Pelodiscus sinensis: one gene and its partners. The protein of the gene in region 4 interacts with the protein of the main gene of each other region in a biochemical or structural test. Links are inferred from orthologs where the notes say so. Each region holds a gene or a part of one and is shown on either strand. Other genes may lie near its edges. The genes, in order: H4C16, EP300, CREBBP and KAT2B.

Region 1 (4,971 bases), on a different chromosome or scaffold from region 4:
TCTCTTTGAAGATACCAACCTGTGCGCCATTCACGCTAAGAGAGTTACTATAATGCCTAAAGACATCCAGTTGGCCCGACGCATCCGAGGGGAAAGAGCTTAAAGCCCTTATCTTGCAACCATTTAAAACACAAAGGCTCTTTTAAGAGCCACCACATTTACACGGAAAAGAGCTGTATTTCCGCTTCCTTAGGTACACGCTACTATCGGGCAAAAACACCCCACTGTTGTTTTCCCCTTTCCACCCCGCAGTCCGGATGCGCTCCCGCAAACTTAAAACTGAGAAGCCTTTAGAAATGCGCTTTTATTTTGGGGGGAGAGGAGAGGAGTGTTGGGTTTTCACTTAAGTCTTAGCGATAATGCGCTGTATAGAACGCAAAGCAAAGTATTTCTCCGTGTGAGAAGCTACCATCCGGCACCCGAGCTAATTTGAACAGCCGTCGTCTACTAATGTAACGAAGGCTTTGGCCAGACCCCAAACCATTACAGCAACAGCAGCTCCTTTTTATGAAAGCGTGGGTGGCTCTGAAAAGAGCCTTTGGGTTAGTTTTTTCTTTTCTTCTCCCTAAGAATGACTGCCAGGCTTAGCCTCCGAATCCGTACAGAGTACGGCCTTGGCGCTTCAATGCATAAACCACGTCCATAGCAGTCACCGTCTTCCGCTTCGCGTGCTCGGTGTAAGTAACAGCATCTCGAATCACGTTCTCCAGGAAAACCTTCAGCACTCCCCGAGTCTCCTCGTAAATGAGACCCGAAATGCGCTTCACGCCCCCACGGCGCGCCAAACGGCGGATAGCTGGCTTCGTAATACCCTGGATGTTATCTCTCAATACCTTCCTATGGCGCTTAGCGCCTCCTTTCCCGAGACCTTTACCTCCCTTGCCACGGCCAGACATGCTCGCTAGCTTTTCAGTCACAGCTGCATGGCGATGCCGGGTAATCGTCTCCGTATATTGCCTGAAGTCCGACCTCATTGAGAACCGCAGAGGGAAAAGGGCGGGTTATTTGTACCGTCTCCCCTCCCCCGCTCTTCGCTGTCCATGCCTCTGACTGCCGGGGCGGCGCAAGGCTCGCAAAACTAGCTTGCTTACTAAAAGGGACTGGCGCGGGGGGTTTAGGCGACTCGGGGTGAAGCGCTGGCACGAAGCATGGGGGCTCCTTTGGAAGCCCGCCTCTCCTGACGCTGGTGGGCCTCTCCTTCAGCGTGCAGATGGCTAGATTAGGAATCTCTTTACGTCACCTTTTCTATCTGTTTTTGGAATATTTTCCCTTTCGACAAATCTTACGATAACGCGGCTGCCATTGTGTGGCTTCGTTTCAAGTAGGAATCTGCGGCAAAATACGGCCAATCAGGTTCCCTCACGCACGCCTCCCTTCCTCACTCCCTGCTCCTTTCTCTGCTCCCCCGCCCCCGCCGCCGCCATTTTCCAAAGCTTGTACAAAGGAAAGGAGGGTTTAACATGTGCTTCGGCCAAAAACCGGGAGCATGGGCACTCGGATTCCCTCCCCTTGCTCCTGATTGTTTTCTTTCTTCTCGCCTAACGTGAACGATGTCGCTGCTGCTGCTGCGTCTGACCACGGATTTGAATGGTCACTGAAAACAGACCCTCGGAAATCAAAAGCTTCAGAGGGGTTGCGGAGTTACTCTGTAACAGGAAAAAACTTCAACGCCAATAAATAGTCTAGTAGCACTTTAAAGACTAACAAAACACGTACCTGGTATCATGAGTTTTCCTGGGCAGAACCCACTTCTTCTGATGACCGAAGTATACTAAGAAACAGACTCCTCTCCTATTTCACAAAGGGTACATCTACACTGCACACTTATTTCGGAATAAGTTACTCCAGAAGGAATACTCCAAAATAGTTTATTTTACAATAGCATGTCTACACTATGGGTGTGTCTAGACTACCTAGTTTTGTCGACAAAAGTGGACTTTTGTCGACAAAACTATACCAGCGTCTACACTACTGCCTCATTTTACGAGGCATAACACCTTCTGTCGACAAGAACTCTGTCGACAGAAGGTGTTATTGCCTGTAACGTTGTGTCCAGACTACGGAGTTCTGTCGACAAAGCAGCTTGTTTTGTCGACAGAACTCAATGTGTCTGGACGCTCTTTGTTGGCGGAAGTTTTGTCGACAGTATCTGTCGACAAAACTTCCGTCGACAAAACGCGGTAGTCTAGACGTACCCTATGGGAAAGCTTCAAAGATAGTCCTGAGGATGCTACCTTGATTTAGAGCCCCAGGAACCACTAGGGTGTAATGACTTTGAATGGCCCTGGGGAGGAGCTAGTTCAAAATAGCAGTAGAGGAGGGTCCACACTACAGCTATTTCAAAATAGCTATTTCAGAATAGGCATTATTCCTCATGGAATGAGGTTTACAGAAGTCAGAATAAGCCGTCCATTATTTCGAAAGAACGGAATTGCTGTGTAGACGCTCGCATTATTTCAGAATAACATCCATTATTCCAAAATAATGCTGCTGCATAGACGCATCCAAAGCAGTTGCAGAAGTCTTAGAGGGAGATTGGTAGCTTTTCTTTCATTTTTTAATGTGGACACAAAGTTTGTCTGATTTTGAAGAGGCTAGATTTTTAGTTACTTGCACTAACATACAGAGGAAAATAGAGAAATCTGCTGTAAAATATGTAATCTATGTATATTTCTTTATACACAGGGCAGTTAAGGAACTTTAGAGTAAGTATTCTTTGGTTTGCTGATCTCTGCACACCACAAGTGATAAAGGTTTTCTCAAAGTCAATCATGAAATTCGACAGTTTTACTTTTTTTTTCCTTTTCTTGCTGGAGATTGGTTTTGTTTGATTGCATCTTCCCTTCCCTCCTGCCCGTCCACCGGCAATTCGTTCATTTGGTTTGTTTACTGCTGGAGAGAAAACAATGACATGTATATGGGTTTTAACTTTGATTAAAATTACCTCCAGGTTTCTTATGGAGAATTAAACCACCTCTGTCACTAGCACTTCAATGATCCTTTTATCAGTTCTTGGGCCTCTCACTGTGCAGGGAGCCCAATAACGTTAGGAAGATATTTGGGCCTTCTCCTACTGGCATTCTTCTGTCATTCAGGGAGTAAATTGAGCGTGGTTCTCAAACCACAGCTAGCACCACCATCAAGTGTATTAGCAGGATTAGTCCCATAGGATAGTACATGACTCCTTCCCCTCCCCGTAAAGCTTGCTGTGCATGCTTCATGCTAGGAAGAGGAGTCTGTCACTTCCACAGTTTAAGACAGGAGATACACTAAGACCTGGTATCCTGCCTTTGAAAATCATTCCACCTGTGAAAGTGATGTGTTGCGGCCTACCCAGAATATGTCAAATGAGTACCAGTTTAATTGTAAGTGGAAAGGAAAGGCAGCATTGTCAGATACAGGAGATAAAAATAAAAACAAAATTTGATTGGTTCACCAACAATAACCCTGCTTTTAGGGAAGTAAGTACCTCACACAGCAGTATGCAACAAAAGTGCTGATTACCCCAAAATGAGCAGACGAAAGTTTTTTGTAAGGACAGAATGAGACAACAAAAATCTAACGTCAGCAATTGTCAGGCGAGTGGAGGAGTACCAAAATACCGAAACAGGGTATATAAGGTTGGTTGAAACAGACCAAGAGCGGACAGGTTGCGAACCCCAAAAGCCAGGTCTGATCAACCAGGTCTCCCTCCCCGGCGCTGAATCTTGCTGCCGCACATAAGCTCCGAAAGGAGAACAAATAAGCTCCGAAAGGGGAACAAACACCTGTTGCAACAAAAAATCCAAAGAAAGGAAAAACAAAGAAAAGAATATCTCCTGAATCTAAGCAATGCTTCTATCTTTCTTAACGTGAGTATTATATATTTGTTAACTCCATAAATTGTTTAACGGTAACTCAGGAGGGTATATCTGTAGGAGAAGTTATTATTTCTTGTTTTTTTTTTTTCAACTATACTGTTTTTCTACTTTTTCTTTGTATATTATATTGTCTTAAAAGAATCAAAAATAGTGAATTGATTTAAATGGAAAATTAATTATAAAGTAAATAGAAAAAAATGAATAATCTTTGTTTGACCCTAAAAAGAAGTATTCCTCTGTCTGTGGTTTCAAATCCTTTAAAGAACCAAACCCGGTTACCGAAACCACCAAGAGAAGTTAAGTACATTCCAGTTCCAGTCCGGGAATACAGACAAGCCTTCTGTTCAGATGTCAATGTGCACATTCTACAAGTATTGAACCATTTGTGCAAGTAAGACTCCAACCCAAGTGTGGCCCTACTCAGCTCAGCATGAGGTTTGTATCGCCCACTTCAGGACACACAAGGAGCAACATAGAAGAAATTCCAAAACTGAGCCATTTTCCACATTCAGGAATCTTTTAATGATTGTTCAGTTCAGTGAGTGACTGGTGCTCTCGCACTGGAGCCAGTCTCCGTGTCCATGAAATGCCCATCTCCCTGGAAGAATCGTGCACTGGCACTAACCAATATGCTTAAACAGGTTTTGTATGCAAGGACAGAGACAGCTCCATTTAAAACTTTTTAAGGCATAGCGTAATTAGTCAGGCATTGGCTGTAAGAGGAGAGGAGGGGGTAAGCGCCCACCTCCATTAATGCTTTGCCTTGGGGCCTCAGTTAGGGCTCAGGGGATTCTCCTTTAGATTCTCCCATTTAACAGACAGGTCTACAGCCCAGCAAAGCTGAAGTCTGCACATCATCATGCTTTGGAAACACGGCTTAGGCCAGGTCTACACTAGACCTGGAAGGTCAGCTTAAAGTACACAATTCCAGCTACATAGAATACATAGCTGTAGTCAGCTTCCAGCACCCACACAGCAGCAGGCCAAGAGGAGCAAATGCTCCAGTAGGCTTCCCTTACTCCTCGGGACTGCGAGGAATACAGGCGCCAGCTGGAGCTTCCCTCACTGTTTGACTTACAGGTCTAAATCAAACCCGCTAAATCAAACGCCA
Region 2 (7,793 bases), on a different chromosome or scaffold from region 4:
CTACCTCTGACTAAATGTATTCTAAAAGTTCTCTGCAAACATTTTTCAATTAGGTATATAAACTTTATAGAACAAATTAAGAAGATGAGCAAACAAAAAACTTTTAATTAAGATGATTCCAGTTAAACCAATGCACAACAGAAAGCAAGACATTTAAAACATCTTGTTTACTGAGTGACGGCCAGACATTTTTTACTCATTTTCCTGGCAGCTCAAACAATTACAATGAACAAGTAAACTGGTGCCTATCGGGAACAACAACATTAACTAGAGAATATATGCAGGGGGAGTGACAGAGTTGAGTCCCAAAAGTTTTCTTTAACCTAAGAAGATCTAAAAGCAAGTTTTGAGAAACAACGGGGGACAGGCTGCTCAGAACTCTCAAAGCAGAATTTTACCAAATGCTCATCTGCTTCTTAATAAGAGGCAGTGAAGAACAGCTTACTGTTAATTTCCAGTACAACTAGTTTACATTTGATGGGGATTGGGACACCCAAAATTTATACCCTCTAGCTTGATTTTGGAACAACTATGGATTGTTCCTCCATACAAAACCACTGTTAAAAATCCTTGAAGAAAGAAAAAGACCCTTTCATCTTCACAACCCAATAAATCTACATGGAAATTTCAGACATTTTGGTCTCACAGCAAAGAAATGGAAGATGCAAAATGAACTGCGCTCCATATTGATTCTTAATGCAAATAAGATGAAACGCTATGTGTTTGCATGCAGATAAACATGGTCTTAAAATCTTACACATCACTAAAATCTGCAATCCAGAACTTAAAAATTACAACTAAGAAATTTCTAGCAAAAACCAGGATAGCTGTTCCTTAGAGAAAAGAGAGGTGAGAAAAGGTGAAGGGAAATGGTAAAAAAGTAAATAGGATAACCAGAATGCAAACAAGAGAAAAGGAGGAATGGGGAAAAAACTCTCTTATTTAGAAGAAAAATATGTAAGGATTTTTACAATGCATGTAATCCAACAAACATTGAGACATAAGTGTATGTATACAGACACTGTTAAGAGTTAAGATGTTTTGTGCACTATTTTATGCCTATAACCACCAGAAATGAGAGATATAAAGATGAAAACTGTACAACTGTTAAGTCTTTTCTGCAAGTGACCAAATGAATAATAAATAAGATCCCATCTCAATCACATCTAACAAATAAAGGGCAAGAGCAATTAAATACCCTCCGAAAAGATTAATACACATAGATGCAGACGAAAAACGGGTGCAAATGGAAAGACAAAAAGGGGAAGGGACTAAGGAAGAAACAGAGCTGAAGAGGAGGAAAACTAGAGGAGAGGAAAGGGTTCTAGGCGTATTATTGGGACATGGGGGGTCTGGGCCCCTGAGACTGACCTGTGCCATCGCTTGCGGACACGGAGAGCGCCGGTGAGGAGAGTTTAGGCCGCTTGGCTGAAGGCGGGCCCGGCTCCACCACATTCTCGGCCATTTTTAATTCTTTTTAGACAAACACAGCGAGCAGAGGGACGGGGATCCCCAAAATCTTCCCCTTCCTCTCGGATCCCCGACTCAGTTGTGGACTAATGAGAGCGAGCGACGGATCTGGAGGACGCGGGGGGCCAAGTTCCCCTTTTTCTGCCCCTCGGGTTCGGTCTCTGGTAGGGTGGCACCGACTCAGCGGGGGGAAAAGGTGGGGAGTAGGGTACGGAAGAGGCCTTTTCCCCCGGACAGAGAGGAGACGGGAAGAACACGGAAACCTCCCCCCGTGCCAGCAACAAAAAAGAAGGAGAAGAGCCTGGTAGGGTTTAGTCAAATTAATCCCGGCTGCTGTGCTGCTGCTGCTTCCTCATCTCTGCCACCATCATCTTCATCCTCCGGGGGGTCTCCTCCTCCTGCTGCCGCCTCACCGCCGCCATCAGCCTCTTCCTCCTCGGCGTCGTTCTCCTCCTCCTCATCGCCACAAGGAGGCGGGCGAAGAAGGGGAGAGGAGGAGGAAAAAGGAGAGGGGGAAAAAATCACCCTCCTCTAGCAGCTCCTTCCCCGTCCAACACCACACAGCAAAAAAAACCACCACCCACTGCCCGCGAAGGGGCTGGAGGGAAGCAAGACAGTGCGTGTCCGGGGTCCCCAGCTCCCCTTGCTTCTTCCTCGCCAGGCACTAATGGCTGCAGAGCGGGGAGCTGGAAGGATGAGGAGGGTGAGGATAAGTCCCAAGAGTCTCCGCTTCACATCTTGTCGTGCGGGGAAAGAGGAGGGGTTGTTGTCCTGATGGAAGCAGCGCCGATCCCTGGATGGAGGTGCAGGGGGCGGGTTTCAGCGCCCCCTTCTCGCTCTCTCCCAGCCGGAGGAGCAGGGTGCCCCCCTGAGCAAGCGGAGGGACCGATCCCAGGGCAGGAGGAGGAGGAAGCAGCAGCCGGCCCCTCCCCCCTTCTCTCGCGCTACCTTCCCCTCCCGAGTGGCTGAGGATGGTTAGCGCTGGTTTGGGCAGGGCGGGGGGTGTCAGGCTCCTCTCCCCCACCCTGCGTTCGGCGACGGTCACTCTCCGCCTCTCAGGCGCTGTTGGGACGCCCTCTCGCCTCCGCCTTCGGGGGCGGGGGCCCCAGCGGGGGTCCAGACACCACCCAAAATCCCGGGACGGGGGGGGGGAGAATCTCCCCCTCACGAATAAAAGAGACCGCGGGGGGGGGGTCTCCTCTGCTCCCCGGAGGCGGGCGGGGCGGGGTGGAACGGGGGCTTTAAGCGGAGGCCGAGCGCGCAGACTCCCTAGTGCCGCTGCCTGGCTCTCGGCGGCTGGCTGTGGGGCTGGTGTGGTTAACGGGGGTGGGTCTCGGACTCTCTTCTCTTCCCGTTCCCCGCCCGGGCCCCCTGAGTCTCTCTGCGCTGCCCGCCCCCTGGCTCGCCCCGTCCGGCTCGGTCTCTCTCGCCCTCCCTCAGTCGCTCACACACAAACAAAATGGCGGCTGTTGTTTCTTCACTCTCCCGAGTCCTCGGAGGGAAGCGAGCGGCGGCGGCGGCCGGAAGTGAGCCAAGAGAAAAAAAGGAGGCGGGGCCCGGAGGGAAGGCGGGGCCACGCGGAGCTCGCACTCACAATGGAACGCGGAGGGTGGGGGCTGGAACGGTGCGGGGGGGAGAATCAGGGGCGGGGCCAGAGGCAGTCACGAGGTCAGGCCGCCCACTCCGCGCGCCCTGCTTCATCGAGGCCTTCCGCAAACTCCCTCACCTCCGCCTCTTAAAGGGGAAGGAGAAGGAGGGGTGGAAAAGAAACCCTTCCTCCCCCGCCCACCGCCTCCTTGTTTTATTAGTCGGCCGAAAAACGCAGCGCGGTGGTTGATTGTGGCAGGATTGTTGTAACCCGACTGCTGGGGGGGGGGGGCGGGGGAGCGCAACCTGGAGTGGGCAGCTCCTCTGCTGCACCGCTGGGCGGGGGCGCGGCTGCCCGGAGCCTCTCCCGGCTCGGCAGAGACAAAGGCCCCGCAGCTCAGACCCTGGATTTCAAGGGCTGGGGAGGAGGGGGGAGGAGAGCAGGATCTGGCCCATTTCCTATGTCGATTTCTACTCAGCGAGGTGGCTGCGTGATGCGCAGTACAGCGACAGCTATGCATGTACCTACCCAGAGATGCAGATTACGCCGTTGTGTAACCTGCCATTGATACATCACCCTAAAGCGGAGTCTGACCCGCCTGGCAAAGCTCCGCTCTCCTGACATTAACCTGACATTGCTGGGGTCCTTAATTAAGGTTTTTGGGTTGTTTTGAAAACATAATGAAAATGTACCTTGCTTGAAGTTAGAAAGCTGAGTACTGAATTTGGTGGTCCTAGCTCTTACCACTTCGAAGGAGTTCTTGAACAAGCATACAGACAGACACAGAAAATCTCTCTCAAATATATAGTAGATACTGGTAGGGAAGTTACATTTAGATTAACTGGCTAATCGAATAGTGGATGCAGTTTGCATCCATTATTCGCTTAGTCGATAAGCCTCAGCCTTTGAAGTGTAGCAACAGTTCCAGAGCTGCCAGTGTTGCTCAAAGCAGCAACACCATGGGCAGATGAGGATTTTGCGGGGCCCAGAAGAGCACAATTTTGCGCGGCCCCCCCTTTGACACGGCGCACGTGTGGTGGCGCATGCGCGCGGCTTCTTGAAGCGCGAGGCCTGGGGTGGCCACTCGGCTCACCCTGCCCTATATCCACCCCTGAGCAACACTACATATAGCCCCGGGTCAGCGGGGGACTCAGAATCCCCACCTGACCCTGAGCTCCATGCAGAGCTGCCACTTTGAAATGCCACATGCAGCCTGGGGCCAGCTGGGAGTTCAGTCCCCAGCTAGCCCTGGGCTGCACTTGGCGTTTCAAAGCAACAAACCCCAGGCTCCATGCAGCGCTGCTGCTTGAAACGCTGCATGCAGCCTGGGGCCAGCTGGAAGGCCAGTCCCCAGCTGGCCCCAGGCTTCACAGCATTTCATAGCAGCAGACCCTGGGCTCCACATGGCACTGCCACCTTGAAGCACCCGCTTTTCTTCCCTCCCCCTTGCTGCCTCTTTCTGATAGAGGCAGCAAGGGGGGGGAAGTGATTAGTCAACTAGCATGTCGACTATCCAATAAGCATTTGTTTATCAGATAGTCAATTAGGCAATGTCTAGACTGCAAGCCTCTTTCGAAAGAAGCTTTTTCGAAAGATACTTTCGAAAAAGCTTCTTTCAAAAAAGAGCATCTAGACTACAACCAGTACTTTCGAAAAAGCACAGTTTGCATTACATATCGCCTTTTTTCGAAAGAGCACTTTCGAAAAATGGCATTCTTCCTCGTAAAATGAGGTTTTCCAAGGTTGAAAAAACTACCGCGTTCTTTCAATTTACTTTCGAAAGAATGTGGCAGCAATCTAGACGCAGGGGAAGTTTTTTCGAAAAAAGGCCACTTTTTTTGAAAAAAACTCTGTAATCTAGACACCTTTAGTCAATGAGTCATTCACATCCCTATATTCAGGCATATACACTATGGTTTCTCCCTCATTATCATTAATCATAATCGGCAAGTACAGCTGCATAGATCTTGTACTGGAGTTTATATGCTTTCATGACAATTTTGCAAGGTTGGTTTCTCACAAACACAAATTCTGATCTCACCTACACTACACTATTATTTAGTATGCATCAGTGTTGTGCTTTGCTCTGTCCTAGGTATAAAGACACTGCCTGTTCGAGCAGTTTAAATATCTGGCCACTGTTTTGCAACCTATTCCATGTGAGCAGATCCTTACACCTATGCACAGACCTAGTGATTTCAGCAAGTTTTGTGCCCAGCCAGAAGGCTCCATGCATGCAGAGCAAGTTATAAGAGTTAGGCCTAAAAGAAAAGAATATATAGAGGGATACAAAATTTGGTATCTTCTTTCTTGCCACTTCCCTGTTCATGGTCAGAGACTTTTATTGCCTTCTTCCAAAACTCATAACTGTACACCTGGCTGTCATGCAAGTTAGTCATGTTTAGGTTGGCTGAAATTTGGTCTATGTACCAAGTATTTATCCTCTCCCTTGGTCATCTTCTGTCCAAGAACAGCGCAAGGACCATTGTACCATAACTGTCAGCTCTCCATTAGACATGTCCATAACAGTGTTCCTTGTAAGCCATGTGCTTGTGCAGTCACTCAGGAGAGATTCAAATGCTGCCCAGATAATTAACAAAATGCCCACAGCTAGGTTTTGTTTCTACTGGTGGTACACATTCACACATGCCTCAGTGCACATAAAAATTATTTCACACATAGATGGAAAAGATTAGGGGGAACACTGGTCCATACCAATGTTCTGAACTTGTCTTCAATTGGGACAACCCTCATTAGGCCCTTCATAATTTCAGTTAATTGCCTATCATTTAATTGCCTTCATCTCTACAGTGGAGAGCACACTGATTTCTTTTGTGTCTGTCCAAAACTCTATTCTGTACATTAAGATGGGTTGAACTACAGTTTTACACCCTACCTTTTAATTGTATTGGTATTTTTTATCACACAGAACTGAGGTCAATTCCTACCATTCCATTTATACCAAGCAGCTTTGATATAATGCTAGGCATCACATAGAGAGGAACCACTGTCAGCACCATTGATCCTAGGTATTCAAAATAGTGTTGCAGTGTAGATGTACCCTTAGAGTAGGAAGGGGATTTTGTCATCTGATTTTTCACAGGCTACAAAATAACTGGCCTGGTAATAGCTTTCAAGTTACTACTAATCTGAGGCAAAATTCAAACCAATAATATAAGTTCAGGCTCCATATTTCTGTTCTGTCGGCTGCCCCCGACTTGCAACGTGATTGGTTCTGGAGATAGCGTCGCAAGTTGGGGATGTCGTAACTCGAGTCTACATTTATGACAGGTGTCATATGCCATTGTAAATGTGGAGCCGAGGACATAAGTCGGGGGATTTCGGCCCCTTCTGCACTTACAAAAAGCTTGTAAATGTGGGGGGTCATAAATTGGGCTGTCACAAAGTGGGGGCCGCCTGTACATTATATCCCTAAACAGTTTTTTATTATAACTACACTCATGTTATTGCACCTTTCATCCAATAACCACAGTGCACATTGCAATCATAATGATTACTGGTAATAACAAATTAATTATACCCCACAAGGCCCTGTGTAGTAGTATTATTATCCCTACTGTACAGTTAGAGAAACTGAGGCACAATGGGATAGCTGCATAAACAGATGGCATTTTTATTATGTAACCATGCACTGTGCTTTGTGCAAATGGATACATGAATTTTCTGTTTTGACACTGTATACTTTGTATTTCATGATTGTTTTCCAACAATAATGTACCCAGTTGTTTTGGCATAGGAACAGACCATGTAGTGGAACATGGCCAGATTGTTGCCATGTGTGTTTACTTAGATTCATGAAATAAAACATGGGCATTTTTACCAATTAAAAGAGAGACCCAAACATGTTACTTCTTTTGGTTGATCTTAATCCTATGTTTGTTCTTGCATGTGTGTTTGGTTTTCCAGATTCCATAATCCTGTTCTTCTCCAGAAACCAATAGAGGTGTCTCATTTTTATTCTTTTATTTCAATTGCTTTTCTATGTAATACCTTCCATATGTTTATTCTTCCATGAGGGAAGTAGTTTGACCTGATTTGCTGCTAAATTCATAATTATGAAAAAATATTTCTATCACTGTAGAAACCTTAGAGGACATAGCTAAGATTTTGAGCAATTTACTAGTATAATCCTGATATCAAATCTAATATATTCATTATTTTATTACTTATTACTTATTCATATTTATAGGACTTTCAAGCAATTAAATTAATTGTGATTAACCACATTTAATCATGCAATTCATTGTGGTCTTAAACCATAGTAGACTATCATATATATAAATAATTTTGTCTATTTTCACAGCCAAAATATATTGATTTGAATTACAACTCAGAATACAATGTGTACAAAGCTCATTTTATTGTTTATTATAAATATTTGCTCTGTAAAATAAAATAAATACTATTTTTCAGTTCACTTAATACAGGTACTACTTACAAATGTAGAATTATGTACAAAAATAACCGCACTCAAAAACAAAACAGTGTAAAACTTTAGAGCCTATGAGTCTACTCAGTTCTACGTCTTGTTCAGCTATTCGCTCGGACAACAAAGTTTGTTTATATTTGTAAGAGATGATGCCTTCTGCTTCTTGTTTACGACATCCCTGAAAAGCGAAAACAGGTATTCACATGGCATAGCTGTAGCCAGTGTTGCAAGATATTTATAGGCCAGATTCATATGTCCCTTCATGCTTCTGCCAGCATTCCACAG
Region 3 (6,926 bases), on a different chromosome or scaffold from region 4:
GAGAGAAATATGTTCACGGAACTATGTCAGAACAGTCCGGAGCTACTATGCCACAGCGATAGCCACCATCTTTGCTAAAACACCAGGGCTCGAACCATGGTCCCTTAAAGCTAAAAGCACAAGCTGCTACAGCCAAAGCTTTAGAGCAACGGGCTGTAACAACTCATATCCTCTGCAGCTTGGAACAGAGCAGGACCTGTAACACACATACCCCAGTGGGTTACCCACTACCACTGCAAATCCATATCCTAGTAACAACGCAAGGTTTATCATCCTCTTGTGAACCAGAATATATTGGTTCGGAACTGGAGGAAGGATGCTGTGAACTGCTATAGATTCTGGTAAACCCTTTGTTTCCAAGATCATTGAACACAGATGTGGGAAGTGAGAAAACTCTAGGTAAGGATTGACCCAAGCCAGGGTCCAAGTTTCACTGATTGAGCATTTGAAAAATAGAAAAAGTCATTAAAAAAGTTGAGAGTTCTGCAGCCCCGTATCACTTCTGACAAGCAATGTCTCTCCTAGCTGCCAAATCCTTCTTCCTTCCTTCCTCCATGTATTTCTTTTCTTAAAATTAGATTGCAAAGCTGTCTGGGGGAGGAACTGTGTCTTGAGATGTATTTTTGTTAATATGCAAAGGGGAAGTGCATATTGGATGTTGTGAAGACCAGGACTTGAACAGGGTTAAAAAAGAAGTAGGTAAATTAATGAAAGTTAGGTCCATCAATATTTATTAGCAGGGCTTGACAAGCGGCGGCGAGCCCTGCTCGCCAGCTGCGCGGTTTGGCACGCTGTGCATGCACAGACCGCGCTGCGCATGCACAGATCGCGCTGCGGCGCCATGCTGGGCTAAAATCTACTCGCCACAGGCGAGTAGATTGCCCTAATTGTTGAGCCCTGCTTATTAGCCAGAATGGGTAGGAATGGTATCTCTGTTTATCAGGAGCTGGAAATGGATGACAGGAGAGAGATCACTTGATGATTACCTGTTTCTGTTCATTCCTCTAAGACACCTGGCATTGGCCACTGTTGGAAGACAGGATACTGGTCTAGATGGACCTTTGGTCTGACCTAGCATGGCCGTTCTTATGTTTCAGAGGGGTAGCTATGTTAGTTCGTAACTGGAAAAACTTAAAAAACAACAAATAGTCTTGCAGCACCTTAGAGACTAACAAAAATGTAGATGGCATCATGAGCTTTATGTATCACGAGTATTATATTATTTTGTGATGGGTGTGCATACATTGCATGAAGGCAGCAAAGGAGTGCACCGATAGGTTTGTGTTTTGGGGACGATGTCTGGGGGTGTGCACATGCTATAGGATGCCAGTGTGAGGCTGAAAAATGCGGGGAAGCTGCATGATAGTCATGTGGGCAAGTGTTGTGTGGAGGTCTGGGTTCTGCAGGGATTGGGTACATGTGGGTGGAGAGCATCACTTAGACATTTAGGAACCACAGGGTGGCAGCATGGGGGCTGTGGGTGGACATCATAGAGAAGTAATGGAGGGGACACAGGCTTGTTGTGTGGGAAGGTACGGACACCACAAAGGGCATTATGGAAAAGACAGCATGAGAGATACAGGTCAGCATTAAGGGGGTATGGGGGAATGTTGCTAAGAGATTTGGGTGCCGTTGTGTAGGCAGGTTGTGCGCTATTTTTCATCAATGAGCAGAGCCGGCTCTAGGTTTTTTGCCGCCCCAAGCAAAAAATTTTTTGGCCGCCCCCCCTTTTTCTGTTCAGGGAGGGACTTGGGGACACAGGCACTGTGAGCACCAGAGTTCCCCTTCCTTAGACAAAGGGAGAGGGAGAATCACCTGGGTCCCAGCCAGGGGTGAGGTTGTCAGGACACAGCACAAGGGGGCTGGGTTCCTGGGCAGGTGTGTGGGGGAGGGGAGGGAGGGGGGGAATGTTTAGAGAGCCAGACAGGGGATGGGGATCCAGGCGGGGGGAGGGGGGAGAAGAGACGGGATCCCAGCAGGATTGCAGGGGGCTAGGAGGAGAAGAGAGGGGGGAGGAAGTGGGAGGGAGGGGGGGTCACAGGATAGTGGGCAGGGGGACAGCCAGTCAAGGGGGGTTCACAGGCAGGAGAGCTGTGGGGGAGAGAACACAGGCCGGAGGGGTGGGAGAGGGGGAGTGGTGGGAAGGGTGCACGGGAGCAGGGATTGCCGGCCGGGGGCGGGTGTGCACTCACGAAGGCAAAGAAGAGGCCCTCAGGCCCAGCCTCATCAGCCGCAGCCCCCTCTCAGGAAGTACCCAGGGCTGCCCACGCAAAGCTCCCAGAGCTCCGGGGCCAGGTGCAGCCTCCGAGCAGCCAGACACAAGGCTCCCTGCTTGGGAGTTGGGGCCCCGCCGCGGCTGAGCTCCAGTGCCCGCCGAGCCCCTGAACTCTGGTCCAGTGAGTTGGCTGCCGGGAGCAGCCACCATGGCCGTGGCCTGCCCCGCCAGGCTTAGCGTCACCAGCTGCGGCTGCCCTGTGCTGGGGCTAGGTGCTCCGTCCTCCCAGCGCCCCACCCTCCCAGAGCTCTGGGGCCAGGTGCAGGCTCCGAGCAGCAGAGTGCAGGGTTCCCAGCTCAGGGCGGCCTCCGCAGGGCTCCCTGCTGCCCTGCTCCTCCTGCCAGCCAGAATGCCACCTCTGTCAATGTGCCACCCCAAACACCTGCTTGGTTTGCTGGTGCCTGGAGCCAGCCCTGTCAATGAGATCAGGGACGGGTGACGAAGGGACGCCGCCTGGGTGCAAGAAATTTGGATCTACTGCAGCCATGGGCAACCTAGGCTAGTGAGTGGGCTGTATTAGTGGTCCTCCATAATCTCAGTGGTCTGGAAGATTGTCAAAACAACGAGAAGTCCTGTGGCACCTTGTAGACTAACAGATTTATTGGAGCATAAGCTTTAGTGGGCAAAGACCCTCTTTATCAGATGCAAGATTGTGGTAACCAAGACGGTCTCCTTGGTCAGGGTGGCTTTGCTAACTTCTGAGGGGTATGCTGATTGAACAATAGCAGTGCTTGGATTGGATGCAGAGGGGGCGCACGGCTCTCACAGTCTGTGTTGTGTGCAATCAGCACGCACCTCCCTCCATGTGCCCTTGCTCTATGTGTGTGTGTCACTTAAGTGATAATGGTAGGAAAGAAAACTATGTGGAAGGAAACCAGCAGACACTGGCAATCATGGACAAGGGTAAACAAAATGACTCCCGGGTTGCACGCAGAGCCCTGATGGGCCGCAGGTTGCCCACCATGGATCTGCAAGGAAGCAGCAAGTGAAGGGTATGGACAGATAGGGCAACGAGAAGGCAGCGTGGGGAGTGTTGCAGACTGTTGCACTAGTATTATTGGGGAGCAGCATGGTGCAGAGGCCAAGGCAACAAAAGTCCAGCTTGGTACTCTCTGTAAATGCTGGTGGGTGATGCACCCTGTCAGCCCGGTGCTATGATCCCTGGGAGGGGGTGCACTGCTGTGAGGCACAATGGCAGGGCAGGCAGGAGTGCTCTGCACTGGCGGAACAGTGGGGTGGGTGCTGCCCCGTTGCACTGGTGCTGCAGAAGGGGGGCACAGAGCATGGGGCCAGGTGGGCAGGGCAGGGAGTAGCATGGGAGTGGTGTGGCTGCTTGGTGGAGGCTGTTGCCCTAGTGGGATGGGGTTAGGGACAGCAGAGGTGCCCCTCCGAGGTGGCTCCAAAGGGGTAATTGAGCAGGAGCCAGAGGGGCGGGATTACTGTGCACGCTCATTTACATAGGTTTGCATCCTCTCCTCCCCCAGCCAGGAGCTCCAGGGCAGCTCGGCGCTTTCCGGCAGGGCTCGCCTCTTTCCGGGACGGGGCGTGCCCCCCTGCGCGGTGACGCAGCACGCCGGCCCCGCCCCCGCCCCGCCCCCATGGTCCCTGGAAAAGAGAAGAGAAAAAAAAACTTTTTTTTTTAATTGAGGAATCAACAGCCGCCATCTTGTCGCGGAGCCGGAGCGCGGCGCGGGCGGGAGCGGGGCCGGGCCGGGCCGGGCCAGGGCAGCGGGGCCGCCCGCCGGGGCACGGGCAGCCGCACGGAGCGCCGCGGAGGGCCAGACGGGCTCGGCCAGCGGGGCAGCGCCGGCCGGGAGGGGGCGAGCCGGGCGCCGCCGCCGGGACCGGGCGCAGTGGCCGCCGCGCTCGCTGCGCCGCGCTCATTGTTGTCCCCGCCGGCGGCGGCGGCTGCGGGCGGGCGGGGGTCGCGGGCCCGGGCGCGGGGCCCGGCGCGGGGCCGGGGCGAGCCCCCCGCTCGGCGGGGAGGGCGGGGACGCGGCGCGGAGGAGCGGGGTGGGGGGGCGCTATGCTCCCTGAGTGCCTGACTGACTGAGCCGCCATCCGGGCACCTCCTCGCGCGGCGGGGAGGGCGGGGGAGCGGCCGGGAGGAGCGAGCCAGGCGGGGGGGCGCTGGGCTCTCTCCCCACCCCGCCCCGAGCCCTCCTCCCTGCGGCCTGCTGCGGCGGCGGCCCGGCCCGGGCATGGGGCAGCGGGGGCCGCCGCCGGCCGAGCACTGAGCGGCGCTGTTCCCCCGGGCGCGCGGCGCGGAGTCTGCTGGCGGCTGCCCGCGGCCGGGCGCGCAGGACCGGGCGGCCCCGGGGCTGGCACCGCCGAGCCGGCTACCATGGCGGAGAACTTACTGGACGGGCCGCCCAACCCCAAGCGAGCCAAGCTCAACTCGCCGGGCTTCTCCGCCAGCGACAGCACAGGTGAGGGCACCGCGCGGGCAGCGCCGCTTCCCCGGGGGCAGCCCCTGCCAGGGGAGCCACCCGGCCGGGGCCACTCGCACTTCGCCGGGACCCCGCCCCCGCCAGCTGACCAGAGTGCAGCAGCCTGCAGCTGACTCCCCAGCCTGCCAGCTGCGCTCCGTGGCTCGGACCCGGCGTGTAACTTCAGCCCTCCACCTTAGAGCTCCACCGGGGAAGGCTCTAGGGCGTAGCACGACCTGGCGAAAGCGAGGGGCTCACCTGGCGCTGGCTTGTGCTTTAGAAATAAGTGTAAATGAAAGAGAGAGCTTCAGCATTGGTACATTTCTCTCGGAGTGGGGCAGCCTCTTCAAAGGCGTTTTGGTTTCCCAGGTGCGTGTAGACAGATTCCTTCGTGCGTAGCCTATGCGTGTGTAACTTTGACAAGACCGCAGAGTTACCTAGTGCGCTGGAATAGCTCCTTGTCTGTTCATAAATGTGTGAATGAGCAGTGTGAAGTGCTTTCGAGAAGTAGGCATTTTTCCATTACAGTAACTGCTTTCAAAAGTTTTGGCGTTGGGCAAGAGAGGCTTTTTTTTTGGGGGGGGGGGGAGAGGATTTTATAGACTTAAGGAAGGAAATTTGACAAATATTCTTCTAGGCAGTGTACACTTTTCTTTTGTGCACGTTTGTGTGTGCGATCGCTTTCACCTTCGCTTTCATCATTGTCATTCATAACCCTGGTCGTAACCCAAAAACTAGGTTTAACAAATGGTAGATTGTCTGCTCTGAGAATTTTCCTAAATATGTACGTGCCTTGTTACACATTTCAGTTTTCTTGTATACATGAAAACATCCCCACTAGTCTCGTAATGTTTACATATAATAAACTTGACAGCAGTGTGTCTTATAGCCATCTTTCACATAATAGGTGGGGAAGAGATGAGCGGGGGGGGGGGGGGGGGGGGGGATGATTGTACAGTAATTGCCAAAAGACCTGTCAGGTGTAGTACTCAGCCATTTTAACTCTTTTTGGAACTGACTGGAGTTGAGAGTGAATGGCAGTAGACACAATGCTGTGAAATGCCCTGTTAATCAAAATAACTGTTTGTAATCTTTCAAATAGTCACTTTAGGTTGCTACAGTAGTAGGTAAAAGATTTGAAACTGACTTTTGAAGGTGTTATTTTTGGAAGTTTTAATTTGAGAGAAACTCAGTTTTGCAAACTTATGCATTTTGGGTAGTCTCAAGGAACTCAACAAAATCTGTAGGATAGATACAGTTAAGCCTGTGCAAAAGTATTTGTGAGGCTAGGGCCTCAGTCAATGAAAAATGACACTGTCAGAGTAAGTACTGTATCTGACATATAGAAGGCAATACAAATTGTTAGGGTTCCAAAGTAGAGTATTAGTCAAAATGCTGAACCTAAAATGGGATCTTGTCTCTTCTTGATTAATAACAAAGTTGTGTGTCAACCATAAATGTTGCCTTTGACCAGTTTCTCAGATTGATAGATGTGAGCCACGTGCAACAGCAGGCTGCATATTGTACTGTTGAATGATGATTAAGGTTTCAGTCATGCAAATGCTTACACACATGCTTAATTTTACTATTGTGAGTAGTCTCAGTGGAGGATTGGACTATATATTTAATGAAAACACTAAGTTTTCCCTTGTTTCCCTTTCACATGCTGTTTTTTGTAGTAGTGAGTAGGTTTACTCAATCCGTTTTCTTGATAAATATTACTTCTTAGCTTGAATCATTCCAGTAAAAACATTTTTTGTTGAGATAAGATGTAGAATGTTCTTTCAAATTATTCGAGAGTGATGTAAGAATTATTTGAGGCAAATCTTCATTTGTGTATTGGAGTAATGTTTGCATGATTGAAGTTAAGTCTTGTGAACTTTTTTATGAATGTGATAGTTCTGTAAATTTTGAAATTATACATTGAGTTAGCATTTTAATAATACAAAATCAAAATATATTGATAAAAGTAAAGCCTTGTGTATATCATAAATCAGTATTAGCTAGATGACTAAAGTGATTATGTTCTTACACCAGCAACACAGTATGCTAATCAAAGCTAGTTACTACCAATACTAATTGTCAGGTTTCATCCCTATAACTAAGCTAATGAGTAAAATATCCATGGGAAAGGGTTTTCATTTATCTGCCTAACCAGTAGGATCCGTGTGTGTGTGTTTTATCAAATCCTCCGAGTTTCTTGTTGCATAATTTTAAACATT
Region 4 (7,577 bases):
TAGTGCTACTATCACTGTGTCTCCCAAACCAGTCCTGTGTCTCAACTCCTTATCCAAGTCTCTACTCCCCATACTTCTTATCCCAGTCTCCTATCTCCGAACTCCTCATCCCAGTTCCAATCTTTCTCCAACCCTGTCTCCCAGTTTCCTATTGAGGCAATTTGTTCCAGTTCCCACCTGGCTGTAGAGTCTTAGTCTTTCCCCACATTGGCTCCATGTCTCCTTGCCCAGCCAGTCCCAATTTCTACCTCATATAACCGCAGTCTCCTCACACTACCAGTCAGAGTCTCCTTACCCAGCCAGTCCTTGTTTTAATCTACTCTTTCCCCTGCTTGGGGAGGTCCAGCTCTTGTCCTTTCTTCATTCCTCCATGCTGCCTGTGAACCAGAAGGGGGACATTGAAATCAGAGAAGAGAGGGAGAGAGTCTCCCTGTTCTTAGATTTAAGACCTGAACCTACTGGATCAGCAGTTGCAGAGAGGGAAAGTTTTGTTCAATCAATGCAGCTCCAGGATATAGCATGTTCAGCGTTGATGGAATTGTCAGGGAATTTAGTTGTCAATCACTAATAAAGTCTCTACTGAGCATGTGTGAACTGAGATTTTTCAGAGGCGTATAGCTTGACAGGTTTGGGCAGATTTGATAAGAAAGGCTAAAGGCACACATCTCACACCAGGGTGACTTTCCCAGAAAATTTCAAAGCTGCTTCAAAGCACGAGGGTGCAGGAGTGTTTGAATAAAACACATACGAATTTGTTTAATGGATGAAACAAATCTTATTCTTGGAAACAAACACAAAATTAAATTAAATTAAATCAGCCTGAAGTGTGGAAAAAATCCACTCAAACAGCTAAAGCTTGGCAAAATTATAAGTGAAAACAAAATTTTATAATGGAAAGTGACAAACAACCTTATCTATAGGTGGCACAACCAGCTCTGCTTATAATGTGTAATGACTAAGAAATCATGCAGATGGTTTTACAAAACAGTTAAACTCCCTCCTGTGCTTACATTACTGTAATGTGACGTATAAAAAACACATCTTGTCTAGCATTGCCTCTCTAGATAAATAGATTCTTGTGTATGTTGGTCCTCAGATACAGTCCTGATAGGTACAGTATAATAACTGAGAAGTGCTGTGTATAGCACAGCTAACTATAGCATGTAGCATTGTATCTAGTAAATACACATACGTGCTGCGTATGTATGAATACTTATATACTATATATTGGAGACAGTTTGTCTCTGCATCTCTATCTGTTTTTTCAAGAACTCCTCCTAAATGGTAAGAGCTAGGAACACCAAATTTGGTATATGGCTTCCTCTTCTCCTAACCTAAAGCACAGTCAGGGTTTGGTTGTGCCAGGAAAACCAGATATGCAGGGAATGGAAAGGGAGGGGCTATTCAGATGGACGCTATAGTCATAGTGGCCACTGGAGGTAGCAAGCACTGGGAGCGCTAAATGGCAGTGTCCCCACTGGGGGAGTTGCACCACCTGACAGAAACCCTCCAATATGTTTAAGATGCCTCTGCCTCTGATTAAATTGAGGCAGGAAAAATCATTTTAAAAGTTATATGTGGACACCCCGATCTGTGATCAGTAACATCTGCTACAATATTGGCAAACACTTAATATTTTTCTAACATCATAATGTGTATTCTCCCTCTGCAGACTAACAGACCAGTAGCTTTTGCTCTCAGGCTGCAGGAACGATTTGTATGAGGGAGATTGTGCCTCACTGAAATATGTACAGAAAGCTTCTCTATACAGTGGAAATAAATGTCCATGTAACCCCTGCTTGCTGGAAGTGGTGCTCTGTCCCTCTCTGGTGGTGAGTAGGCCCATAAAGCAGGGGTACTCAACACGTGGCCTGCAGGTGGGATTCTTTGAACATGGCCTCCACTGGGAACATGCAGCACAACAGTGAGGCGTCTCCCAGGCAGGGTGAGCTTGAAAAATGCAAGCAGATGGGCTGGCTGGAACAATACAGGGTATTGGCGGTTCTAGCCCTCAGGGAGGAGGTGCTGGGAGCACTGGGACATTGTAGGTGCTGGCTGCTTAGCCTTGTGGGCAGAGCCTGAGAGGTGCTGACTGGCTCATACTAGCTATGTTTGGGTTCAGTGCTGCAACTTAAGGCTTAATCTTTGTATTCAAGCCTGTCAGTGTGAAAAAAATTATTTGCATATATATTTGCATGCAAATGCAACCACACTTAAATTGCAGCCCTCAGCATGTGCTGTATCTTTGTGTCCCCTGGGGCTTCCAAAGTTGAGTAGCCCTGTCATAAAGATTCATGAGCCCACTACAGCCTTGGCCAGTGGTTCTCAGCCCTGTGGCACAAACAGCCCACAGCTTGGACCATGTGACATGCTCAGGGCCATACAGATAGTGTACGTGTGTGTGTGTATATATATATATATATATAGAGAGAGAGAGAGTTTGGATGTGGCTCACATAACAGGTAGAGAGCTACCTAGGGCTATGTCCTCACTATCAGGTTATTTTAAAATAAAAACTCCCGAAATAACTATTTCAAAATAAGCTTATTCCTATTCACAAGCAGGAGTTATTATTTTGAAATAAAAAGCCCATTATTTTGAAATAATGGGTTTGGTAGTGTGGATGCTCGCCTTATTAGTTTGGAATAAGGGGAGTGGTTTCAAAATACAGTAAAACTCCATTGGTCCAGCACTCCTGATGGTCCGGCACCATCAGGAACCCGGAAGTGCTCCGGGCAGCCGGACCATTGGAGCTGCTCTGCCCCCGGCTTCTCTGATTCAGCCACTACTGAAACTGACCAGCGGCTGAATCGGGGAAGCTGGGGGCAGAGCAGCTGGAATGCTGCCGGTTGGTCCTGTAGCGCTGCTCCTCGGTGCTGCAGGACCAACCCGGCAGCACCCCAGCTGTCCCCGATTCAGCTGCTGCTGAAACCGACCAGCGGCTGTCTCCCGGAAGCCCTGGAGTCTGCCGCTGATCAATTTCAGCAGCAGCTGATTTGGGGACGCCTGGGACAGAGCAGCTGGGGTGCTGCCGGGTTGGTCCAGTAGCGCCGCCACTTGGCGCTGCGGGACCAACCTGGCAGCACCCCAGCTGCTCTGCCGCAGGCGTCCCAATTCAGCTGCTGCTGAAACTGACCAGCAGCGGCTGAATCAGGGACGCCGGGGGCAGAGCCGGACTATCGGAAGGGGGGGCTATGAGAGGTCTGGGGTGGCATTCCCCCCACACCACCCTAGACCCCCTCATAGCCCCCCCCTTCCGATAGTCCGGCAAATCTGATAATCCGGCACCCCCTGGGTCCTAAAGGTGCCGGATTATCGGAAGTTTACTGTAACTCCCCAATGTAGACATGCCGTGGGTGGCGTACAATGGTAAATGGGTTGAGAATCACTGGCTTGCGCTAAAACAAAGTGTTGTTCAGCTCATGCAGTAAAAGCTAACATGCTAGTGCATTTAAAAGCTTCAGAGGACCCAGATTTGAACCTACTACTGAAACCCTTTTGGAGGTTGATATTATGCACATATGAAAAAAAAAAAGTTCTGGGTATTGTTCAGATTCTGTGATTAGGGGGCTCTCTGCATGCTTCTGTTGCAGCCTGCATATTTTGAACTGACCGATCAAAAGAGTTGGTGATATCAAAAAGGCCTGATGTAAATGGGGGGAATTTCCAAGCTAAATAGGGGGTAACATGTTTTACAGTCTTGGTTATGCACAATAACATTCTGGTTAAACTAAAATCAGATTTTAAATCAATGTACTTAAATCCTTGTTTTCCCACTGATGGATACACTTACATAGGAAAATTGTACTAATTATACTGATATGATTAAACAAGTATCATTATATTGGTATAAATCCTCATGTGAACACTTTCATAACAGAATAAGTGTGTTTTCATGTCCATGGTGAGTGTCCTATTGTCTTTATTCATATTTGAAGATTAACTCATGTTTTTCCTGTTTGTTTTTTCTACATCAGAAATATCAGGTCTTGACTTCCCTATTTCTTCAGGAGGGCTGAAGAAATGCAGAGAAATAGTGAGGTCACAGTATATTGAAACTGTGTTACAGCTTTCTAAGCCCTAAATTGAGTGGGAAAGCAATGAGAAAACTTAAGATTCCTGCCTACTGTGATATTTCTATGCAACACCAGGGCTTTGAAGAAAAGACCTGATATTGCTGATATGTTTAAATATAAAAATAAAGCAGAGAAAAACAACACTTTAAAATGTGAGGAAAAATGTCACGTCATTATTAAAGAGAAGCAAAGGGGCAGAAACAATATATTTGCTAAGCAGTTTATGTTTGAGGACCAGTGGATTACTACTATAAAATGTAGACTATTTGGCTTCTGACAGACTACTTATATGAGCAAAGCTACTTAAACATGTAAGTGTTGCAAGCTGCCAGACCATAGGATTGTGGGCCTGAAGCCACAGGCTAATATTGCACAATTCACCACAGTCTCAGTAAACATATTAGTTCTGGGTATTGTTTTACTGCTGTTACTCTTAGAGCTGGTCAATACTGGTAAAGCATATAGTTAATCTTTATCTCAGGGGTGGGCAATAAAACGGTGATGGTTCACATGGGCTATCCCCTGGGGGGCCGCTGCCGCTATATTTACCTGCCCCTCCTCCTTAGGTCGGAGAGATCACAGCTCTCCTGGGCCGTGAACAGTGATCCGCAGCCAACAGGAGCTGTGATCGCCTGTACCTGCGGAGGTGCAGGTAAATATGGCAGTGAGGGGGCCTGCAAGGGGCTAATCCTGGTAGACTGGATCTGTCCTGCGGGCCAGTATTTGCCCAGCCCTGCTTTATCTGCTATTGCTACCATTTGGCTATATGGTTGAGCAAGGAGACGCATGAATCACATATTTTCTAAGTTGTGTACATGCCACTAATTAAACTGAGGATCAAATCTCTGATTTGTAATGAAAACTAAAAGCTACAAATGTTATCTTTGTGTAACTATTAAGAATGCAGAATACAAATGGAAGAGCCGTATGAGCATATTTCCTTACCTGTGTCATTCCTCTCCTTTCTCCAGGATGTGCTCCTTCCTCCCTTACCTGTCATCGCAGTCACTTCAACTGTAAACTGTTTGGGGCACAGGCCCTTCTTTCCTGAGCTTGCTCTGAAACTCTGTTTATGGTTGTGGGCACTACAAAGTAATCTTTATTACAAATAAGAATAGGATGACTGCAGGAAAGGTGGTTGGCTGACGTACCTTTGCTGTCTAGCACATACTGGAGGAGGAAGAGAAGAAGATGATGTATCTCTGAGGTCACAGTCTCCCTGAAAATGTCATCATAATATCACCCAACAACATATTTTGTATCCTGCCAAGGCTACACTGTGGCAAATTCTCCTTGAACAAGGATCATCCTCCTCTTCCTCACCCCCATTGTTTTTCATCTGCTTCCCTCCTCTCCCCTCCTCCTGTCTCTCTCAATTGTCCCTTCCTTCTCTGTCTCACACTTCTTCCCAAAGTTTGCTCTTCCCTGTCCCTTCCCTCCTGGCTCCTCCTCTTCCATGTGCCAGCAGTGTGGCCATGCTACTGGTGCTATCACATCACTGTCAGGTCTCCTCTCCTTCTGAGGGGTACTCTATTCTCTCCACATGTAATACAAGGACAGGCTGGAGGTGACTTGAAAGGGAATTATTTGTACTACAGAATGTTGATACTCCCAGGACCATTACAACCCTCTAGCTTGCCTGTCACACGGCTTGCAGCCACACAAGTGCTGCCAGTGGGAGCTAATATTTGCAGCATCACAGGTACAGCTCCTCCTCTAAGCATCAGTAAGTAAAGCCCTGCAAATCCATGGATATCTACTTTATATCCACAGATATCCACAACTGTGGATGTGGATGCATTTATCCATGGCTCATTTTTGCAAATATGGATGTGCATAAAACCCTGTGATCCAGCATTTCTCAAACTGTGGGTCCTGACCCCCTGGGGGTTGCAAGCAACTTAGAGGGGGATCGCAAGCAACTGAGAGGCTGGTTGCAGCAACGGAGAGGGGGGTCGCGATATCACAAGTTTGAGAACCCCTGCTGTAATCCTTGAAGTAACAGCTATGCCCTGGACATGGTGCACTCTGTGCTCCCCAAAACAGAATGCCTCATTTGTATGTACTGCACTATTACAGCTTGCACTGCTTTGTTTACACTAGTGCAGGCTGAAGTGGTGTTAATTTGATCCACAGATACTGAAGCAATTCAGAATGGCTTCCACCATAGGTATGAGGTGACCACAATAGGAAAAGCTCTAATCCCTTTCCTGGACAGTTGCAGAACAAAGCATACATGTTTTCATAGTGTAGCTACATGCATTGGATGGAAGTCAGTGGCTGTGCCTACCTAAGCATTTTACTTTCTCTTGCAGTACCGTAAAACCAACAGTGCAGTTCCAATGCTGGCAGCAATAGAAAAGCACTAGAACAGTCCAGCTACTGCATTTTAATCTTGATTTGGGTCAGAAGAAATCTAGATATCACACATGAGTGGTCAGTGAAGATAAGGCTGGGGGAGGTAAGCCTCCAGCTCCAGCCCCCAATCCCACCCCTTCAGCTGAGCCCCTCTCCACTCATGGGAGCCAAACCATCTCTCCGACCCTCACTATGGGGAGGGGAAGAGGGTGTCTGGGCGCACATGCCGCAGCCTCCCCGGCCTGGAGCACAGGGGAGGGAGGAGGATGTGTGGGTTCAGTCTTCCCAGCCCCCAAGCACAGGGAGGGAGAAGGGTGCATGTCTCTAACCTCCCTGACACTTGAGCATGGAGTGGGAGAAGAGTGGGTGGAGTGGCTCCAGCATCCCAGGTCAGGAGCACTGGGAGGGTGGGTGCTGGGGGCAGTAACACTCTGCCCCCAATACGCCTATAGCAGGTATTCTGGGGGGGACTGTGGGGGGGGACAGGTTGGCCATTTGGGAAAGCAGAGTCTTCTCCCGCTTATAATACTGGACGCTCATGATGTCACAATGATAAGATGCTAGTGGCCAGGCTATTCTAGCTCTCCCACCATCACTAGCACTCATGCAGCTGCCCTGGTGGTAGTATATGCTGGGAGAAGTTAAGAAAGAAAAACTTCTGTGAAGACAACTAGCCAGTTGAGATGGGGTCAGGAAAAGTGCTGAGAAGTGAGATGTCCTACATGATGCAGGACCCTTAAGAGGCCTACCTGACAATGAACTATTCAGAGCAGTAGCAGGTGAAGAAGACATGAGCTGTAACAATGCTACCATCTAACAGTGAGCTTTTCACAGAACAGTAGTGGCAGGAAAGGGAGAGACAAAGTTATTAGAAAGGCCATATTTCTCTGCACAAAGAATGCCAGAATTATATAATGGGGAATTCTATTCCAGGAAATGGTGACTCTGAAAATGATGTGGGTGCCATAGTGAATAATCATCTGAACATGAGCTCCCAGTGCTCTGCTGTTCACAGTTCGAGGAGGATGTTGGTAAAGAAGACCCACAAGAAAGGTTACACATTTAGAAAGCATGCCTTATAGTGACAGACCTAAGGAGCTCCATCTATTTAGAAAAGGTTAAGAGGTGATTTCATTACAGTCT

What was found.
Region 1: of the proteins of KAT2B (region 4) and H4C16, one has a biochemical effect on the other in vitro, tested with the Homo sapiens proteins (2 studies listed by BioGRID). The link is inferred for Pelodiscus sinensis from reciprocal best matches to the Homo sapiens genes KAT2B and H4C16.
Region 2: of the proteins of KAT2B (region 4) and EP300, one has a biochemical effect on the other in vitro, tested with the Homo sapiens proteins (4 studies listed by BioGRID, with this or other methods). The link is inferred for Pelodiscus sinensis from reciprocal best matches to the Homo sapiens genes KAT2B and EP300.
Region 3: the proteins of KAT2B (region 4) and CREBBP form a complex in vitro, tested with the Homo sapiens proteins (4 studies listed by BioGRID). The link is inferred for Pelodiscus sinensis from reciprocal best matches to the Homo sapiens genes KAT2B and CREBBP.

The regions. Positions count from the first base shown.
Region 1 is NC_134711.1:85,908,579-85,913,549, reverse strand, and holds H4C16 (histone H4), read right to left. Parts: upstream 1,102-4,971; 5' UTR 975-1,101; coding exon 585-974; 3' UTR 520-584; downstream 1-519. Other genes in the region: histone H3, read left to right, coding at 1-103. UniProt on the Homo sapiens protein: Core component of nucleosome. Nucleosomes wrap and compact DNA into chromatin, limiting DNA accessibility to the cellular machineries which require DNA as a template.
Region 2 is NC_134711.1:89,545,329-89,553,121, forward strand, and holds the start of EP300 (histone acetyltransferase p300), read right to left. Parts: upstream 3,015-7,793; 5' UTR 1,466-3,014; coding exon 1,372-1,465; intron 1-1,371. UniProt on the Homo sapiens protein: Functions as a histone acetyltransferase and regulates transcription via chromatin remodeling. Acetylates all four core histones in nucleosomes. Histone acetylation gives an epigenetic tag for transcriptional activation.
Region 3 is NC_134726.1:3,553,090-3,560,015, forward strand, and holds the start of CREBBP (CREB-binding protein), read left to right. Parts: upstream 1-3,905; 5' UTR 3,906-4,619; coding exon 4,620-4,704; intron 4,705-6,926. UniProt on the Homo sapiens protein: Acetylates histones, giving a specific tag for transcriptional activation. Mediates acetylation of histone H3 at 'Lys-18' and 'Lys-27' (H3K18ac and H3K27ac, respectively).
Region 4 is NC_134712.1:191,345,469-191,353,045, reverse strand, and holds the start of KAT2B (histone acetyltransferase KAT2B), read left to right. Parts: upstream 1-4,562; 5' UTR 4,563-4,577; coding exon 4,578-4,728; intron 4,729-5,021; exon of another isoform or gene 5,022-5,155; intron 5,156-7,059; exon of another isoform or gene 7,060-7,213; intron 7,214-7,333; exon of another isoform or gene 7,334-7,348; coding exon of another isoform or gene 7,349-7,487; intron 7,488-7,490; exon of another isoform or gene 7,491-7,505; coding exon of another isoform or gene 7,506-7,551; intron 7,552-7,577. UniProt on the Homo sapiens protein: Functions as a histone acetyltransferase (HAT) to promote transcriptional activation. Has significant histone acetyltransferase activity with core histones (H3 and H4), and also with nucleosome core particles.